3 linked regions of the Lytechinus pictus genome follow. The protein of the gene in region 1 purifies or fractionates together with the protein of each later gene. This does not show direct contact. Links are inferred from orthologs where the notes say so. Each region holds a gene or a part of one and is shown in the gene's direction. Other genes may lie near its edges.

Evidence for each region.
Region 2: the proteins of aurora kinase C-like (region 1) and ADP-ribosylation factor GTPase-activating protein 1-like purify together in Homo sapiens (affinity purification with mass spectrometry; 3 studies listed by BioGRID and IntAct, counting the BioPlex papers as one, with this or other methods). This does not show direct contact. The link is inferred for Lytechinus pictus from reciprocal best matches to the Homo sapiens genes AURKA and ARFGAP1.
Region 3: the proteins of aurora kinase C-like (region 1) and serine/threonine-protein phosphatase 6 catalytic subunit purify together in Homo sapiens (affinity purification with mass spectrometry; 4 studies listed by BioGRID and IntAct, with this or other methods). This does not show direct contact. The link is inferred for Lytechinus pictus from reciprocal best matches to the Homo sapiens genes AURKA and PPP6C.

What each region holds. Positions count from the first base shown.
Region 1 is NC_087246.1:50,027,274-50,034,331, reverse strand, and holds the start of aurora kinase C-like, read left to right. Parts: upstream 1-3,967; 5' UTR 3,968-4,122; intron 4,123-5,974; coding exon 5,975-6,028; intron 6,029-6,668; coding exon 6,669-6,854; intron 6,855-7,058. UniProt on the Homo sapiens protein: Mitotic serine/threonine kinase that contributes to the regulation of cell cycle progression.
Region 2 is NC_087261.1:4,284,432-4,291,510, reverse strand, and holds the start of ADP-ribosylation factor GTPase-activating protein 1-like, read left to right. Parts: upstream 1-4,013; 5' UTR 4,014-4,230; coding exon 4,231-4,290; intron 4,291-7,079. UniProt on the Homo sapiens protein: GTPase-activating protein (GAP) for the ADP ribosylation factor 1 (ARF1). Involved in membrane trafficking and /or vesicle transport.
Region 3 is NC_087259.1:23,573,196-23,580,571, forward strand, and holds the start of serine/threonine-protein phosphatase 6 catalytic subunit, read left to right. Parts: upstream 1-4,294; 5' UTR 4,295-4,386; intron 4,387-5,154; 5' UTR 5,155-5,217; coding exon 5,218-5,220; intron 5,221-5,697; coding exon 5,698-5,839; intron 5,840-6,743; coding exon 6,744-6,823; intron 6,824-7,355; coding exon 7,356-7,376. Other genes in the region: trichohyalin-like, read right to left, coding at 1-29, 365-433, 801-1,287.

The sequences.
Region 1 (7,058 bases):
TGAAAAATAAAAAAATGTATAGTAAATGTTGTCATAAGCATCCTACTAAAGCTGCAAAGTGCTCCAAAACAGCTTTTTCGTTCCTTAAATTTTGAAGATTTTCTCATCCATTCACTGTATAGCTCCCAATAATGTCACTAAATCTTTCAGGTCATTATATAAAATTCAAAATGTCGCCCGCGCTATATACGCCCGCGGTAGCTGTTGACTGAGATAAGTAAATTATCTGTTCAAATAGGGCTTTAAAATCCAATGTTCAAGTCAATATGGTTCTCGCGAATAGAATTTTCATTATTCGTTTTAGCGAGATACGCAACCTGCCTATACTCATAATTTTCATAAATAAAAAAAAATCAGCTCGCGCTATATACGCGTTCGCATTAAACGTTTGATTAGATAGCCATCCAGTTCATGATTACAAAAAGTGCTTATAGAACGTCCAGTTATCATCTCAGGATGTCAAAAATTTTCAGCTCGCGCTTCGTGCTCGCATTATTTATTTGGTGAGATATCATCTCCATGGCCCAATGCAAACAGCTGGTCCTTAACAGGTCTCTTTTTTAAATCAGTATAGGGTCTACATTAAAAAAAATAATACATCGCGCTTCTTGCTCGAGTTGAGAAATTGGCAAAATATTTGTGTGTTGACCCGCCCCCAAATGTTCTTTTGACGCCCCTGATGAAAATACTATAATTTTGTCATGTAGACTCTAATTCATCTTCATCTCCTCAAGTACGTACAGACCTCCGCCTGGTGTAAGAGGAAGAAGAAGGAGAAGACGACGAAGAAGAAGTAGATCGAAGAAGAAGAAGAAGGAAGAAGAAGAAGAAGACTTCGGAGGAAGAAGAAGAATTAAGAAGAAGAAGAAAGAAGAAGAAGGCCGGAGGAGAAGGAGAAGAACAGGGACGGATCCATGCAGCCTTCGCCAATAGGCAGATATATAGGGGGCGAATTTTTTCTCCCATATTTTCCCCCATCGGCCACTCAAAGTTAATTTGTTTCTTTATTTGAAGGAGGAGGTACTATATAATCACCTTTTAGCTTTATTCTTATAAAACAACATAAATATACAAGAATCTCATAAGCCCTATTTATAATTTTTGGAAATTTCATGTATGATTTTGTCCTGAAAATTGAACATTCTGGGCAATGTTTGTGATCCTGATCAAGATGCGTATATATACAGCGCGTCCCCGGAAATGTCCCTCTGATATACGGCTTTATTAATTCCAAAATTAAAAATAATTCTCATTTAAAGATGTGGAACTAGAAAGCCCATTTAATATCCTAACTTCAATAACAATTTAATTGGTCTTGCTTCAGCGGTTTTGAATACACATCATAACAGTGGTGCTTTTCAGCCCATTTTAATTTTCCATATACATGCAGCACTGATACCACTGTGCGTTCTGCATCGTCCAAGCATATCAACCAACTTTGATCATTCAGAATCTGATGAGGGATTTCCCTGATCTGACCTGGGAAATTTACTTTTTGATCTAACCAGGCTCATAAATAATATTCAGAAGGGCAACAACAGTACTCAAGTCTGATAATGGAGAATGCATAATGATAGAGAGAACAGGTCGACTCTGTTCCATGCCGAATTCCAACAGTATTGCATTCTTGTTTGCATTACTTTTTTAAAATAATTGTTTTGAGGTCAAGTTTTATACCTTTATTAATGAAAACAAAAGTCAATTTCCAATGCTACTGTTCACTTTCGCATAGTGCAACACACTTGTAGTTTGCCATTCAATGTTCATCTTAATGTACTAATCACTTATCTATATTTTCTTTCAAATTGGTGCATTATTCCCTATCAATCATAAAAATGTATATTTTTTATGTTCCTCACCCTTCTGAACATGCCAAAGTTTATCATTTGATAAGCCTGGATAGATCAGGATAATGTCCCTGCTCAGATCTTGGACAGGGGCGTAACAGGGGTCGGTGGGGTGGGGGGGGGGGGGGCAAGAGCCAAAAATTTCCCGGTCATATCATGGTATATAATTATGAACAGGATTTTTTGCGATTGTGCCAGAGCATTAGAGTTTAATGCGTGATATTAAGTACAAAAAGAGGGGGCACAGCATGGCGCGCGCGGCAAAAAGTTGCTTAATATATAAGCCCCGAGTGAACGAAGCGAGCGAGAAAAAAAATCACCTTTTCATGAGAATCTAACTTTGAGATTGATTTTGAAAAGGTATTCAGAAAATAACATCATAATTTACATCTTCCCTTTCCTTTCATCTTTTCTTTTTTGTTTAACTTTTGGGGGCCAGTGCTATGCGGATTGGGTCCGGGGCAGAGGTGGCACCAGGAATTTTAACCTAAAGGGAGGCAAAAAAACATGGGGGGGCAACACAATTTTTTTGCCTATTTCACGAAATCGAGCGAGAATTAAGCGTGAGCTATTTTTTTCAATGTAGGAATGCACTATACTGACTTGAAGAGGGACCTGTGAATGACTATGCTTGCACTGGATCATGACTCTCACCAAAATAATGAATAATGCGAGCGCGAAGCGCGAGCTGAAGTTTTTTATATCCTGATGAGATGATACTCTCGACGTTCTAAGCACTTTTTTTTATCATGAATCGGATGGCTATCTAACTAAACAATTATTGCTGCGAGCGCGTAGCACGAGCCGAAAACTTTTGATTTATAAATGAAACTTATGATACGCAGGATGTGTATCTCGCTTAAAACGAATAATGAAAACTTTAATTCCGAGAAGCATTATATTGACTTGAACACTGGATTTTTATGCCCCATGTGAACAGATAATTTACTTATCTCAGTCAACAGTTACTGCAAGCGCGAGCGAAATTTTGAATTTTATATAATGATGACCTGAAAGAATTGTGTTGACATGATTGTTGGGAGCTAACAGGGAATGGATGGGAAATTTTCAAAATTTAAAGAACGAAAAAGCTGTTTCGAGCACTTTGCAGCTTTAATAGGTTGCTTAGGACAACATTTACTATACAACTTTCTTTTTTTTCGGGAGGGGGGCAAGTGGGGGCCAACTCATTAACTCACTGGGGGTAAATGCCCACGTGCCTCCCGCTCGGTGCCGTCACTGCGGAGCCCCCTGAACCTCATGACATTGCAGATGGCAATTTTTTATCAAACGCGGGTACATACACCACATTACTTCAAAGCAATTGCGGAAAATATACGAAATATTTTGAAGCAGGACAACATAGCAAAATATTAATGTGGTAAAATTTGTTTTTAAAAAGTAGCCAGCGAGCTACCATTATTGCATCCTAGTTTCTTCCCGTTCTTTATATTTTTCAATCCTCGGCAGCCCGGTCGTGTTATTAAGTTCTTTCTTTTTTTTCATGTCCCTTTTCTTCATATTCTGATTTTCAATTAGCTTTTGGCTCTTCCTTCATTTCCCGTTTCCTTTTGCCTCTTTCTCCAATTTCCCAGCCATTAATTCTTGCCTATGCCATTGAGTCATATCTTTTTATTTCATATCACCCTCTTGCTAATCATGCTAATTCGGGATATTTTGTTCTTTCTCAAATGTTCTTCCGGCTTTTCCCGCTTTCCTTTTTTCTCTTTCCTCTTTTTTTCTCTCTCTCTTTCTTTTCCCGTTCCCCTTCTCTCTTTCTCCCTTTTCCCTTTTTCCCGTTTTTTTAATTTTCCCGGTGATATCCGCCAGGGGCAGCTTAATTTCCCCCCTGCCACCCCCGCCTGTTACGCCACTGGGAGGAGGAGAAGAAGCTAGGAGGAGGCGGCGGGATCGAGGAGCGGGCTTATTTCCCCCCTATTTAATTGAGCATGCGATCAAAACACATAGGAGTAATGCCGAAATTCCGAAAAACATTGTTTAAAAAATGTTATTTCAACTAAAAAAAATCTAATCAGGCCTTGTGTAGCACCTAGTCCCTAAAAACGTCATGAAGCGGTGTCAGCCAATGGCGTTGCGCGATTTTGGCTTGAAATTTAAAAGGAAACCAACCAGCCGCATTGTTGTCATTGAGCTGTGTGATCGAGTTTTCCGCGAAAATCCCTATCAAGATATTCATCATTTGCAATATTATAGGGCTTTTTTCAAGTGAAGTTCATCATTCTGTTAGCCAATATCACAGTTCGTCATTTCCGAGGTAAATTATTGTTATTAGTCGAGAAACAGACGTGTTTTATGTGGTTGAGTCTTGATTGAATTTAGTGTAGTTGCACTTGTGAAGTTGTGTGAGATTGCATCGCCGCGCTGCACTGCACTGCCGGTACGGGTCCGCTATAGTGCATGCCCTGCGATGCGAATTGCGATATAGAGTCTTTAATTAGAGAAAGACATTGCCATGTATTTAATATGCCGTTGGTTTGTTGTTATGTTGGACATGCTTATGATTGACTCAGACTGTGCCAGTGGTGCTTATATTTTGTAATAAGTGTTGATCTTAAAGGTCAAGTTCACCCAATAAAAAAGTTAATTTAAATAAATAGAGAAAATCAAACATGAATAATAACGCCGAAAACTTCATTAAAAAAAACGGATGAAAAAACTAAAATAAGAAAGTTACGACATTTGAAAGTTTCGCTTATTTTTCACAAAACAGTTCTATGCTCAATTCAGTGATAAATGAGACTGAGAGTCGATGATGTCACTCACTCACCATGCTCACTAATTGAGTAATTCTATTTCTTTTGTTTTTTATTGTCCAATCACATCTCACAAACACATGTCTCAAGGTCAATATGCCCTCCGTTTTTTCTGCATATCGCGATTGGAAACGGCCGTATTTCGCCTTCGATGTCGACGTCATCGTTCAAATTCTCAGTCAGACTTCGCTTGGCTTCAGCCTTGTGAGCTGCCACGGACAAATCTTTTGGTCGCTAACTTCATCCATATCAAAATTACCCAAAATGAAGTGAAGCGATGTCTGACTGAGAATTGAACGATAACGTCGAGATATGAGCTGAAATACAGTGGTTCCCGGTCACGACATTTGGAAAAGCGGTAGATAACTAGATATAGGCCTATTGTTTATTGACCTTGAAATTTGACTGAGTGACTAGCCATGACATTTGTGAACAATTTCTGATGGGGAAATTTGCTCGAAGTCGGCCTACATTGCATTAGGACCGAAATCTGTCTCTCAGATTTAATACCAAATGACAAAATTCCAAAATGGAAGATATTATTCTTTAAAAAAAACACCTCTTTTTGGTTCCAATATCGACTGTGCTCCACTTGACTTATGATTGGGCATGTCAACATCAGATCAAATCACATTTGCTTGATTTAGAAATACATGTATTAACAGCTCAGGATCATTGAGAAAATCTCATATGATTGATAAAAATCTTTATATTCACATGAAAACTTATACTAATTTAACCCAGAGCAGGCCTGCATGAGCCCAGAAGATAGCCATAGGCTGCCACAGTTAACAACTAAGATGGGTACCTTCGACGTTGGGGGACCAAAAACACTCAAAATTAAAGGGGAAAAAAAGAAATCATGCATCCACCTCAATTCTATGGATGAAGGGCTAATGCCAATGGACTGCATGAATCCTGACATCAAGGCAGGAGTCAGACCCTCAAAAAAGGCCGCATCAGTTTACTCACTTTCAAAATTACAAACAAAACTGTCCGATCAATATACCGAGGGCGCATGCGTGAATTTGACAGAGTCTATATTGCGCATGTGCCCTTGGTATATCTATCGGACAGTTTTCTTTGCAATTTTGAAAGTGAGTGAACGAACACAGGTCACAGCCATTTTCCCCCCCTTTATTGAGGGTCTGGCTACTGCCTTGATGTAAGGATTCATGCAGTCCGTTAGACCTTCATCCAAGGTGGGTGTATGATTTCTTTTCTTTTTTTCTCTTTAATTTGGGGTGTTTTTGGTACCCCAACCTCAAAGGTACCCATGGCAGCCTATATGGAGACATTTCCAAACCATTCTTACCAATAACACACACGTCTTTCATTATTTTATTAACACAGATGACTTCAGAATATGGCAAAGAAAATTCTTCTCAAGCCCACATGCCATCAAAGGTTTGTTTACCATTTTCCCCCCAGCTTCTTGTAAATTTGAAGACAAAAAAATGTTTTTAATTTTATTTTGTTTCAAGATGTTGTTCTTAGTACATGTACATGTCTCAACCAATAAAAGCACTCCTTATGGTTATAGTTACATAAAATTTGAAGTGCAATCATGTGCACATACTTGATTTCTTATTGAATGCAAGCTAAGTGATAAGATTAAGTTTGTGTCTTTGTGACTGACTTTTTATGCACACGAATCATCACAGTATGAGTATGACACACCAACACGTTGGGCAATACACTAAAGTCCGGTTTAATTTAGGGTATGTTTTTAGTCTTTAGTCTCTGCCAAATTATTGGAATCCATTTCTTTTTTTCTTTTTTTTTTAATTGTAGTGTAACATTCTTACATGTATGTTTCATGTAGACTCAATCAATCATGCTAAAATGTTAAAGAAAACTAAGTCAAATGTGCCTATAAATTAAGTCACTACTGTTTAGAATTTGAATTTCCATTTACATTGGGATTTATACCAAGATTTAAATTAAACCTTTATTTTTTCCATAGTAATTAATATATGAATTTGTATAATTCTGTTTGGAATTTTATCTTTTCATTCATGTTGTCAAATTTCTATCTCTCCATCAGGCACACATGACACCCGTTAGTGTACCAAGGGCCAACGCAGGACCAAAGCGGATCCTCAAGCCAAACGGCTCAAACGTAAGAACCACACCCACTAAGGCCGTTAGGTCATCGGTCGGTCATCCGCCGGTCTATCAGTCCCAGTCCCAGACTGTGACTGTTCAGGCCACAACTGTTAAAAATTCCTATGTGAGTTAAGGAGATAATCAGAGAACTGGCCTCCTACCTCCTACCCAGTCCTCTCCTGTTGCCACACTCCATATGGACCCTTCTTCTGTCCCCTTCCTATCATCAATCACCTTCCACCTCTCAAGCTTCTTATTAAAAAAAAATCAAATAATGAGTAAAAAATTGTAATATTTAAATATTTACCATGCAAATTTCTAAAAGATT
Region 2 (7,079 bases), on another chromosome or scaffold:
ATTGCTGCATTGAAAAAGTTTGTATTTCAAAGTTGATTTAAAGATCATGTGATGTTAAATTAGGATGGCAATTAACAACAAATTTGTCACTATCAGTATGACTATAGTATGAGACCCTGAACTTTTTGGTATAACCATGTTCATTGAATGAGTGGGTATTGAAGAAAACCCACCAAGGAAAGAGTTCCTCTTGTGACAGCCACCCAAAGTAACTAAAGATTGTCAAGAATTCCACCTGTTCCGGTTTATTCACTTCCTGTTTCTCCATTGTTTGCTAACCCATATGGGTGCGTGCGGTCAGACTCGGCCCAGCCGCCCAGCCCTCGGCCGGTCCGCGTCCGGGCACTCGACTCTAATCTCGGCTCAGCTGCGTCGCGTCGGCCGCTAATATAAGCCTACATTACAATCACATCCAATCCGAAAAGATGAATACTTATATTGACTGAATTGTACGTAAACATGTAGAGACCATTATGTAAAATATTACCTTTATTATATCACAGAACAATTGGCGTTAAAATACAAGCAAAGTTCATCTAAAAAGTGGAGCGGCTTCAGCAGCCTTAGGCTTAGCAGACTCTTTTATGTTTTCCAGAAAGTTATGGTGGCGCTAAAAGTATTGTTTTTGCTGAAATTCCCCGGTGTCAAGTTCAATCCATCTGTCAGAATTATAATACAAAAGAAAAAGGGCTAAAACAAGAAAATTCATTGTGTTATTGATTAAGATAAACCCCAATTGTTTTTTTCTTTATTTCATCATGAAAGTCGGCGGGTTTCGATTCCCGGCACGGCCCTTGACCAAGGCATATATTTCTATTAACATATTGCTTTTAAAAAAAATCTTGCATCAAATAAAGCGAAAATGCTTTATTTTTATTATATTCATAATCAATAACAGACTTAAAATGGGTGAGAGTTTTCCTCCTCGGATATCTGACAAACAAGCTTAACACAGGGGCCGCTGAACGGTTTTCAAAGTTGGGGGGGGGGCCGGCTGAGCCAAAAGTGGGGGGGGGGGCTGACCATGCTAAAATCACAATCATATGGTCATTTTTACATTTTTGTACACGGTTTTAGAAAAAAGTGGGGGGGGGGGGCTGAAGCCAACCCCCAAGCCCCCCGGTTCCGCGGCCCCTGTAACACTAGAAAAAAATTCTATTTTTATAGAAGTTTTTTATATATATTAATTCAATTTATTCAATTCAATTCAATTCAATTCAATTCAATCATTTTATTTTCCACTTTCAATTTCATATTTACAATTTTTGATACAATTGACATAGTAACATATAATCACATTTGAAGTACATACAAAAAATTGATAACATTGTAAAATTACAATAGACAATTATCAAATCGAAATATAAATAATTGAAAGGGAGGGAGGGCCAACTGATAAGCAGAGCTTGTATAATGTAGGCCCCCCTAATGTTGTAATTACGTGTTTATAGCAACTGAATTGCTCTTTTGTAAAAACAAACAAACAAACAAACAAACAAACAAATAACAATATTTACATTATGTAATATAAACATTATTATACAAATCATATGCATCATATTAAAAAATATATGAATCACTCATAGTGTATACAAATTATTAAAGGTTTCCTTCTTAGCACTGAAGGCTTAATTTGTAATTGATGAATTAAATATTTAGTAATAATTCAGGAGAAATGATTTAAGTCGTTTTTTGAACATTTGTATAGAATTGCTTTGTTTTATATCAATTGTAAAAGAATTCCATAGCTTAGGACCCATAAAAATAAACGTTTTTTGAGCAAATGATGTTCTGTTCAGTGGTAAATGAAAAGAGTTTGCTTGGCGTGTGAAGTGACTATGAATCGAACTATTTTTAAAAAACATATCAATTAGAGGCATAGGTAGTTGTTTAGTATTAAGCTTGAACATAAACTGTCCAAGTTGAAAAGTGTACAGTTCTTTAATTTTCAGAATTTTATTTTTCAAGAATAGATTATTTGTATGTGCCCGGAAATCTGCATTATTTATTACACGAATAGCTCTTTTTTGCAATATCAATAGTCTATCGATCAGCCAAATTGTTGCATTACCCCAAGCAATAAGTCCATAATTTAAGTAATTTATTACCATTAATTCAATTCATTCATTTATTTTTGTTTGTTTCTTCATTCATCCACTCACTCATTCATTCATTTATTCATGATTGATTCTTTCATTCATTCATTCAGGGGGGGGGGGTGATAAAGTATATGGTTTTGGTCTGATAAGGTGGATCGGCAGGGGGGGGGGGTGTTATGCATTCATATGCATACGCAATATTTTTTTCCTTTTCTTTCTTGTCTTTTTTTCAATGTCAAATTTATTTTGTATTGCAATGGAAACTATTTTAATGTTTTTTATGGAAAAAAAATGAATAAATAAACAAATAATTAATTAATTTATTTATTTATTCAATCATTCATTCCTTCCTTCATTCATTATTCATTCATTTCATTTTCCCAGACGCGGGAGCTCTGCATTCAGTACATTAATGAACTTCTTAAAGGGCATGTCCGACCCTTACAAACTTTTATTTGAATACAAAGGAAAAATCAAACCAGCATAATACTGGAAGTTCCATAAAAATGGGATCGATGTGAGATAAGAATTAATTATTTCACCTTATTTCACAAAATAGTTATATATGGTTATATTCAAATAAGGGGGCCGATGACATCACCCCGGGCATCACTGTACATCCGTTTCTTTTGTATTTTATTACATGAAAATAAATAATATGAAATAGGGCCTATTTCAATTTCATCATCCTCATTGAGTTTGACTCCTCCCTGAACATGAGGAAATACCATTATATTGTTACCTTTACCCGAGATTCTGGAAGAGTGCCGTTGTGAGGGTCCTAAATCTGTAAAAAAGGAAAAATAATAAATAAAGAAAATAATAAATAGATAATTAAATAAATAAATGAATGAATAAATAAATAAATAAATGTAAAAAAAAAAAAAAATCATTATTCGAACCAAATAAAAAAAATAAAAGAAACGTAAGTGATTGACATCGACTCTCTCATTTATCACTGAGTTGTGCATTTACTGTTGATGTAAGTGAAAGTTTAGAATATCATATAACTTTTCTTATTTTTCATCCAATTTTGCTGATTCTTCAGCGTACTGCTTGCTTGAGTATTCTCTAAGTTTCTGGGGTGGACTTGAACAATAGGCCTACCTCGAAACAAAATAGAAAACATCATAAAAGGGTACGTCCATCTCAAAACTAAAGAGAGAGGAAAACAAAAACAAGTGATGGGCCTATACTAAACGAATGTCGGATGTAAAATAAAATGTCACTGAACAGTTATACAGTTATGCACAACTCATGCTTGGAAATATATACACCGGTATTCAAATGTATAGTGAATTGGGAAAGACAATGATGTCACTCATTATTTATTGTGTATTTTATTGTTTTAGTTCTTTCTTGAAATATAGACAGATAGATCTTTATCTAGTTAGATAGATAAATAGATATAGATAGATAGAGAAAGAGAGAGAGAGAAAGAGAGAGAGATAGATAGATAGATAGATAGATAGATAGATAGATAGATAGATAGATAGATAGATAGATAGATAGATAGATAGATAGATAGATATATAGATAGATAGATAGATAGATAGATAGATAGATAGATATATAGATAGATAGATAGATAGATAGATATATATATAGATAGATATATATATAGATAGAGATAGAGATAGGGAGATAGAGGGGAGAGATAGCTAGCTGATGAGATAGATAGATAGAGATAGATAGATAGATAGGTAGGTAAGTATAGGTAGGTATGGGTAGGTAGATATATAGATAGAGAGAGGGAGAGGGGGGATGGAGATAGCTGATAGATAGATAGATGGATGGATAGATAGATAGATAGATAGATAGACTATTCTGTTTACAAGAAATTACTCCATAATCCGCGCTGGGGAATCCACCCCATGCAGTGTAGATCTCTCAACCAGGTCTGAATTAAGGCTAGAAGGATAGGAGATTAAAGACTGGTATCAAATCTTATTCTTCACTCCGTTGTTCGTTTTGGTATCCTAATGTCACAATTTTATTTGAAGATTAGTTTATTTTCTTCTCATTTATCCATCATCCACGTAAACGCCGATTGCCGGTGCCGCAAAGTGACGATTTGAAGAAAACAACACAACTAAATTGATGAAATTTTAGGTAGATCTCAAGACTGAATATGGCGAGCCCTCGAACACGGAGAGTGCTAAAAGATTTGCGTCTAAAAAATGGAAATAACGTGAGTAGACTTCGTGTGTTTACTATCATTTATGGACGGTAGTGCATGGATTGATGGCCGTGGCTTGATTCTCGCCAAAGAGTTCGGCTGCGAAGCGGCGCGGCGGAGCTTCAGCTTGTGGTCTGCTGCGACCAGCAGCTGCTCTCTGGCGTAGCTTTTTTGTGGAATTGTGCTGCTGGGTTAATTACGCAAACATTAACAAGTTAGTGCAATGTTAGACCGATAAAGGTATATTTCTGTCAGGGATATGCTCCGCTGAGCCGAAACTTTGTCTGGCTCCGCAGTGGCAGCCGTCTGTTTCGAAATTCGAGGACTTTTTTAACATTTGAAATTGTTTAATTAAATTTCCTTGTAGAACTAGAAATGTAACTTTTTTTTTACTATTTTAGTACTAGTAGTACACAGACGGCTCGCGATTGTGCAGCCGCCATTTTTTTACTAGGAATAGGAGGTTAATTACATGCAAAATTCCCCCAACAGGGCTCATCGATTTTTGTCTTTAATTATAAAAAGAACTGGACGAAAATGAAGATTATTAATATTATTCCGTTTTGGCCTGAAATGCACCAAAACGGGAAAAAAAATTAAAAGGAAGAAAAACCAGTGACTTAGTCTTAGATCTACTTCGGCTGTGCACAACTCCCACTTCCCTGGTTTATCCGAACTTTATACATGTACATAAACATGGCCATTGAGTCCCTGAACAGATCGAGTTAGAACTTCGGTCTCTGTAATTGGTGAGTGCATGGAGCCAACAGAGTTCAGCGGAACAACCAATATAACAGAGACCGAAGCTTTTGGTCTAGCTCCGCGGCATCCCCTCCGTCAACAGACCGATGTCGATGAGGGCCATTTGCAGAACTAATGTTAGTCGAGGCTTGGTTTGGTTTGGCAATGCAGCATGGCACACTAGTTTTTCAGCACTGCACAAAGTACGAAAATACTCTACCCAGAGGTCTGTACTACACCCGGAAGAAGAAGAAGAAGAAGAGGCGTTGGTCAGAAAATTGGGATCGTCCCAGTTTACAGGGACTGTCTCAGTTTTCAAAGATTTCTCCACACAAGAAATCTAGGAAAGTTTATTCACCTGTCAAGTGTTGACAGCCTGACACCAATCAAGTGCGCTATTCCATATAAATATATGATTTCATTATCAGGTTTCATAACAAGATTATTGGAAGACGGCAAGTCATAAAAAATAGATGGTGAACTGGGGGGTATTGAGGTCACTGAATCTATTTTTTAGCACTCTCAATCCCGGTAATTACCATCTATGTCCCACAGGGTTAAGTGAAAAAAAAAACGTCCCCATATACAAGGAAAATCTCAATTTATCAAGACATGATTTGTCTTTGTTTATATCCTTGCATTCTGGGAAATCCAAATTTTTGGACTAGAATATTGGTTAGAATATTTACCACAAATTAGTAAAAGTTAATTTGTTCAAATATTAAAATCGACATAGTTTTAATCATTTGTAAACAAAGTGCGTAGCTTTAGGTCCCCCCTGGGGGTCACTCTCCACATGGACTGCTACCCACCCGTGTCCAACAACCTCAGAAATGCACCCTAAATGGCGTTATGACATTAAGTAAATTTGCAACCCTAAATGGCGTAACCCATGAGAAAAGCCACCCTAAAACAGGAAAATCCCCTAATTTGAAACCCTAAGTGGCGTAAACATCAAAATCAATGTTATACCTGTGGGTGTGTGGGTAACGCATGCTGCCTAGTAAGTATAGAGCCAGGTGTAAGAGACTAGCTAGAACTGTACCGGGAGGGGGGGGGGGGGTAACTCTCATCATGGATCTAATAGTAACCCGGAATAGTAATAGGTCCATGCTCTCATAAGTGCTGCTCTGGCTGCGCCGGCGTGTGGGAGGATTATTTTGTATCCCTTACAATCGCCTTTCATGGTGTTTATGGCTTATGTCTGCTCCCGGGTCCCCTCAAATTTGCCCAAATTTGCACCCCTAAATGGCATAATTTCCCGCATAATTTTCATAACCAAATTAGCAACTATTGTATCGTGACCTATCAGTATTACCTTAAGTTAACTGTAATTTACGAGAATCTATGGGCTAATCTGACCTTAAGATATGGATCTCGCGTCGGATTATGGCCTGGCACGAAGCTTGAGTTGCACTGGTTGAACTTGAAGCTAGTTGCAGAGCGCTCTGGTCCTTGCTGTAGCGTAGCTAGCTGCCGGGGTATGGTGCGTCCTCAGGCCAGTAGTACACGTTCAGCGGTGGATCCAATTGACTCATAATAACACATAACTAAAATGCGTCTTAGCTTATATAGGGGATGGGACCCGTGAGCCGTGACAAGATACCGAAATTATATGGCCCGCCAATAGGGAATACATGTATATGTGTGTAATGCTATGGACAGCGAATAGGGAAATTATAAAGGAGTGCTTGTCTCTACACTTCTCCCAATCTTATTGAGGATAGATCTTATCTAGACTTATTAATTAACTTAACCTAACAAATAACCCTTAATTCTAAAGAATATTGGATACAAAACAGGTATCCCAGCAAACTATGTGGCCCTACTATGTAAACATATATAGATACAGTTCTTGCTTTGTTCATCTTTTCTTTTCTCATCATCTTTTTTTTTTTTCTTTTTCTTTTTTCTTTTTTCTTTTATCTTCTTTTCTTCATCTTTTCTTCTTTTTTTTTTCTTCATCTTTTCTTTTCACATCTTTCTTGTCTTCTTTTTTTTTTTTTTTCTTTTTTCTTTTATCTTCTTTTCTTCATCTTTTCTTTCATTTTTTTTTTTCC
Region 3 (7,376 bases), on another chromosome or scaffold:
CTGCAGCTTTGATTTCTTCCGCTTTTCCCCTGTTATGAAGTAGGTAGTATAAAATACATCGTAAATAAAAAAAAATCAATCAAATGTGATAGCGGTAAGAAAGGTATACAATCATTTTATTTCTTTCAACTTGTTACACACATACTTTTCTGTATTTGACATAAGGCATGCAATATCACACTTCTAATAGCTAATACAACAAATCAAGTGAGAAAACCTTGAGTTGCAAAAAAAAATCATACTGCATGAAAGCAACATCAACGGGATGTAAAAGGCCCCTTTTCTTGAAAATTTGCTGAATCGAATTCAAATATCATATGAACTATAAATAAGCAAATGTATGGAAACAATCTGTTTATATTACCAGTTGCCTTACGTCCATTAGCAGATGATGTTGAAGGTCCCTCTAGATCCTCCGGTGGAAAATTGCCAACTAAAGAAAATGAGGGATAGAAAAGCGATTACAATAAGTGACTACAATAATAAACATTTCATTTTTATGCATAAAATGAAGGGGAACTAATTTTTATGTTGTTATGTGTCACTGAAGTAAAAACATTTTAAAACAAAGGCTAACTTTCAATACATTTTTATTTTAGTAAATTCAAATCAGTTCCTTTCATATTACTCAGTATAAAATGATACATCAAGACAATATAATGATACCAATAATGTTTATTTTAAATGCTCACACTGAGAGGGTAAGAGCCAAAAAGGATTAGTCTTTATAATTACACATGTATATACAAATAAACATGTATATGTGATTACAAATGAAAAAAGGAAGAGGAATCCTTTACCCAATTCTGTTGGTGCTTCCACATCATTTTCCTCCAGTTCATCATCCGTTATACTTCTATCTTCTTCGGCTCCATCCTCCTCCTCCTCTCTCGGCAGTGAATCAGAGTCCACCGAGTCTAGCGACTCAGATTGATCCTCCTCCTCTGGTTGCGACGCCAGAATGGCAACTGGTGCAGTCTCTGGTCTGCCCCCAAAGATCTCCTGCAGTTCGCTATAGAATTTACATGTAATTCTCCCCCTGCCTGATCGATTGTTATTGTCCTCCGTCTTTCGGAAGGACGCTCTTAGTTGTTTAATTTTCCGCTTGATTTGGTCCTCTGCCCTTTCGAACCCCCTTTCTTTCATCAATTGGCATATCTTACGAAATACCGTTTTGTTCCTTACTGTGCCATCCATCTGTTCTTGAATGTTTTTCTCCCGCCAAATATTCAGGAGGCACAGCGTCTCCACATCTTCCCACAGACTCCCTCTCCCTGTTGGTGCCATTTTGATCTAAAATGAGAGAACAAATACAAATACAAATTAATAATGGTAACCACAAAGATTACGATGTGGTAAAATTATTATATAAAATTATGTGTAACATCTATTAATCACCTTTTAGGATTTTTGATCTTGTCAACAACTTCTCTTGTCAGGGGACAGTTGACATGAATATCATCAAAAATTCAAATTTAATGATTCAGATTGATCGACCACCTAGATATATGAAGGCCCTTCTCCCCCTGCTATGTAACATTTGATGATCGATGGACAAATTATTCCGCTAAAGTTCCATATGTACCCATCACTAAAATTGAATAAAACAATTGAAAAATATGGGTATGACTTAGAATGACATAACTAATATAAATAAAGTATACAAAATATGGGAAATCACTTTCTAAAATAACTATCTAGAAATCCATATAGTATACAAAATATGGGAAATAATATTCTAAAAATCTATCAAGTCCATCAAGATAAACTCCTACAGCTCGGCAACTAACACGTGGCCAGCCGCTGATCTCTGAATACCGGTGGAAGAAGAACTTATTCATACTTTATTTACAAGTTTCTTTTGTTATCATATCACGTGTTAATCTGTTAATGTATACAATTTTTAATACAATTTGCTTCTAGTGATAATTTTAGAGACGGTTTAATGATCATTTAGAGATGGTAGGCCTAGAGTGTTAATTATAGAGACAGTTAATACTATAATAGTAAGGTACGCAGAGTCTGTTACAGCTAGGGTTAGGGTTCGCAGACCCCGGCGTCCATCCTAGAGTACGCGGCCTCCTGATGACTTTGGTTGGTTAGGGATAGGACTTCGAAGTTAGAGTTGTGTATATTATTGTACTGTAATCTGTATTAACATTGTTTTATGCACTCACCGCTAGAATCTACTTATTTTAGTCTACTTCTTTTTTGTGGGGATTTTACAGGCAGACACTATTTTATATGTAGATCTAGACCCTACTCATTTGTTTCAATGTCTAGCGACATATTTCATGTCCAATTTCTGACTATGTGCGACTCCGACTGAGTGGATTATTGGCATTTGAAATAATTAATGGCAATTGTCTAGTTTCATGTCTCATGGCCTGGCCTGCCCCTGGCCATGCCTTCAAAATCAAAGTTAAATACTTCATCAAGTTCATGCCTCATGATCATGATGACTTTGTTTGAGGCATAAGATGATGTATTAACTCTGACAGTCTGACTCCGAGTCTGATGATGATGAGTCATAATTTCATAATCATATGAGAAAAATTATGACGGCTCATGATGTATGGCACTCCTGTCCAGGCTATTGTTTTTAGTCTGTCTATTAGTATTGATAAATTATCATCGCCAACAAAAAAATAATGATCATTCTTCAGATGGTGCAATCACAGTAGCGATGTATTTAAAAACATCGAAATAAACAGGAAATGATCAGACGATCGAAAATCATAATTCCCAAACCCACAGAAATATAGGGATGGGACTGAATTACAAGTCACCATCACTCATCAGTTCTGTTCGGAGAAAATACCAGGAATAAACGGTTTAAACTTTTAGCCCACCAGTACAGAATATGTCGTGTCTTAGTGCAGGCTGCTGGATATGAGGAAATTAAAATTTAAAGCAATAAATGATGAAAAACAATGTAATTTTACGCTCGGGGCGAGGCTTACCTATAATATATACTGCATGCCTGGTCCAAATGGCAAAAGCGCGCCCGGCCGATGCATTGTTGATGATGACAGGTCGCGTCACTTCCGCTTATAAGCCGGCGCCGAGTCCACTTTGGTGTTACACCTACCGATTGCGGGACTGAGTCCGGACTCGGGCCGGCCTCAAACCACATCCAGAGGTGGACTGAGTCCACCTGGCCTCAGTCCGGCCTCAGTCCGGCTTTTCAAAAAAAGTTGATGTTACACATACGTCGAGCCGCCTCCGGGGCCGGCCTCAGTCCACTTGCAAACGTATGTGTAACAGGGGTCTTATATTAACCATGATTTAGCAATATGTAATCGCCAAGTTATGTTCACCTATCACTTTTTATAGGCCCGTCCTAGACGGAACGTATATCACGCTCAATGTCCGTCCGTTAACTTTTTCTTGTAAACGCGATAACTTTAGTTTGACTTAACCTAGGCTCATATAATTTGGTGTATTATCATTATGATATATAGCATTGATCCCAGGAAGCCTATTGATTTTGAGGTGCAAAGGTCAAGGTTACAGTGACATATTTTCATCTTAACCTTCTGCAGTCCTTGTAAAGGAGATTACTTCAATTTTACTTAATCTAGGCTCATATAATTTGATGTGTATGTAACTAGCATGTAATTGTATCCCAGGAAGCCAATTGATTTTGAGGTCAAAAGGTCAAGGTCACACTGTCATGTTTTCATCTTACCCTTCTGAAGTCCTTAAGGTGATATTTAGTTTAACTTATTCTAGGCTCATATAATTTGGTGTGTATGATACTAGCCTAGATCCTAGGAAACCTATTAATTTTGAGGACAAAAATCAAGGTCACACCGACATGTTTTCATCTTTAATACCCTTCTAAAATCCTTCTAAACGCGATAACTTTAATTTAACCAAGGCTCATATAATTTGGTGTGTATGATACTAGCATGGATCCCAGGAAGCCTATCGATTTTGAGGTCAAAAGGTCAAAGGTCAAGTCGCCACCTTCCACTTTTCTTGCTTGACCAATAACTCCATTTTCCATTTTACAGACGGGCGTATTATGTGCTCGCCTTAAGTAGCGACACTCGTTTTCAGCTAAGACAAAAGGGGGAGGGGTGGTGAGATATTTGTTTTATAGGATGATATTTTTACAACCTTTCTACCTTGGACCCTTGTGAATCGGATGGGAATAATGGCAATAGCCATGTCTTTGTAATTTTTAAGAAAAATTGCTTTTCCTTGACCATGGGTACTTTTCTAAATCCCTGATTCTGCATTTGGTGTTTCAATCAAATTATTTCTCCACTTTTTGTTCCCCAGAAATTGTGTGATGTGGTATGTGACCTGCAGTTAGAGGAATGCAACGTTCAACCGGTATCAACTCCAGTTACAGTGTGTGGGGATATACATGGACAGGTAAATTTCTTGGGTATATTGCATTCACAACAACAAAAGTGACTCCAATTGACCAATGTTATGATATCCATATTTTTTTTCTTATTCGAAATAGAAATCTGAGAATTTAAAATAACATACAAGTAAATTTCATTGGTCTGTGGTCGGTTTTGTTGATGTAACTGTTACATTAGATTTTCAATTAGATGATAGCTCCTTGTTGGTCATACTTTTTCCCTATCCTTTTTTTTAATCTTTTCCTTTTCTTTCCGTCCCGTAATCTTTTCTGGTCTTTACCTTCCCTGTGTCCTTCTTTTCTTCCTTTCTGTCTACCTCATCATCTCCTTTCTCCTTGCCCCTTTCTTTTTCTGCTCATCCTTTCATCAGTCCTCCTCCTCCCCATTATCCTTCTTCCCCTCTTTCGCTTCTATTCTTCACCCTTCTCCTTCATCTTCCATCCTTGCTTGCACCATCCCATCTTCATTTCCCCCCCCCCCCCCACCACATCGCATAAAATCACTTTTAGCCCTTTACTGTATGTCCAGATATTAGAGTCATCATAACTGTGTTCTCAATGATGCTAAGAAGTAAGGATTTTTTTGTTTGCATGTATACATATCATAATTATTTTGGGAGTATTCCATTTAACATTTGCTTTTCATCTTTTTCAGACAAATCCAATTTATCGTGTCTCATAATTTTTACCTAGACACCATTTGTTTTACCATATTTCATTTAGTAAGTACTTGTTCATGTATTTTTATTAATATTCTTTTCCCCATTTCACAGTTTTATGACTTGGAAGAGCTTTTCAGGACTGGTGGTCAGATCCCAGATACAAGTTATATTTTCATGGTAAGAAATTCTTTTTTTATCACTTGATTGGGGGAAACTTATCAAGACATCACTGAGCTTTATGTTATGTGGACCCGATCTCGTTATTGATCAAAGTGCATACAACAACCCCCCCCAAAAAAAAAAAAAAAAAATTAATTTCAAGATGAAAACAAAGGTTAAAAAATCATTGTTATGAAGATTTTGATAGTTTGAAAAAAAATTAGGTAAAAAAAAAGGTAAAAGATAGGTAATGGCAATTTTATGGCTATTCAAGAAAGTCATTAAATTCCATCTATTTTGCTAATGAGGACAATGAATTGCATGGACTAATCTGACCATTCTGAGGTGTTGAATTATTATTTGACTAGCCCAAACTTGGAGTTGTGTGTCTGCAGTGCTTTGCAACCAAAAGGAAATGTGATATTTCTAATGACCATTGGATTGGATAGGACTTTTACTTTGTTTGATAAATCCCATCCATTCTTTCCCTTCCAGGGTGACTTTGTAGACCGAGGTTATTACAGCTTAGAGACATTCACTAGGTTACTCACACTAAAAGCAAAATGGCCAGACCGTATTGTTCTGTTGAGAGGGAATCATGAAAGCAGACAAATTACACAAGTCTATGGATTCTATGGTAAGCCATCTTTATTCCAGAGCCTGCCAACCATTATAAAAACAAAATGTATTTATGAAAATTTGACAGGAATAAGAAGGGGTATAACAAATTATGAATTTGTAGTTGAAAGAGAAAGAAGTATCAAAAAGAGAAGGCAAAGTTGTCAGTGTCATAGAAATACATGTATTGTCATATATTAACATGTACGCAAGGGCTGAACAGAAGACATACATTTATTTCAATGAGTTAGTTTTGGATGGAGTGCTTGCTATAGCAGAGGTTGTAATTCCTGGGCCTCGTCTTACAAGAGTTGCGATTGATCCGATCAACCACAACTATGGAAAGCCAGCAACGCCCATATCTAAAATGCATGTTTGTTCAAAATATTTTCTAGATACGATACATACCCTTTAATACATTCATCTTAGTCTTGACAATTTGTTATGCTTTCTCTTTGTTAACAAAGGACATTGTGCAAATTTCTGATAGGAAAAATTATGACAATGATGGATTTCCATATAGTTGAGGTTGATCGAATCAATCGCAACTCTGTAAGACGGGGCCCAGGTGCAAATCTCGCCGGATTAGACAACATAGTTTTGAGAGGCAGACTACTGTACAAAAACAATATGGCCCTTGAAATGGTGTTGTGTTTAATCCGGCTGCATCTTTGCCTGGTAGTCCTATACCTCCCTGCAAGTATCGGCAGAGGGTGACAGTTGAATGACAATTAAAAGTAGGGTTGATTGAAAAAATACACATTTTCATGGAGAAATAATGGATTAATTAGACCAACTGGTGTTAGACCAACTATTATTAGACCAAGGAGCCGTTAGCCCTTGTAGCTTCTAATTTATTTGTAGTGAAACATGACCAATGACATGTGAAAACTCTAAACTGCTCCCTTTTTTTTCATTTTCAGATGAATGTCAGACGAAATATGGAAATGCTAATGCATGGAGGTACTGCACCAAAGTCTTTGATCTTCTCACAATCGCTGCAGTAAGTTTCAAGTGAAGAAAATTGTTTTATTGTTGATGAGGTTGCCAAATGTGATGATGTGAATATATTATTAAATTGAAGAGATGATTTTTAGTGGGAGAGAGGGGATTTGAAGATAGGGTGACTTTTGCAGTTGGAATGAAACTTACTGCATTAATTGTTGTCAAGAGACAAAATGGTGCATGAAGACAAGAAACAAACGTGAATTGAAGTTTTATATGTATGTAGTATATTTTTGAGAAGATGTAAATTCCTGTAGAACAAAAGACATCTTTATAAAATGCAACATAAAAAATTGTACATTTTGTTTACGTTGCCAATGTGAGGATCTCCAAAGCATTTAGTGATCTTAAGTTCTCAATATTCAAATCCTTTATAACTTTGTGATTAATTTAATCTTTCTTAATCATCCATTGATCTGTTTTTTCAATTTTCAAGTATTAAGTTTTGGATGCAATTCATCTGGTTTCAAGAGTGTAATTCCATAAATTTAAATTTCTAATTGTTTATTGCTCCTTTGTGTCTTTGCAAGATCATTGATGAGCAGGTTCTG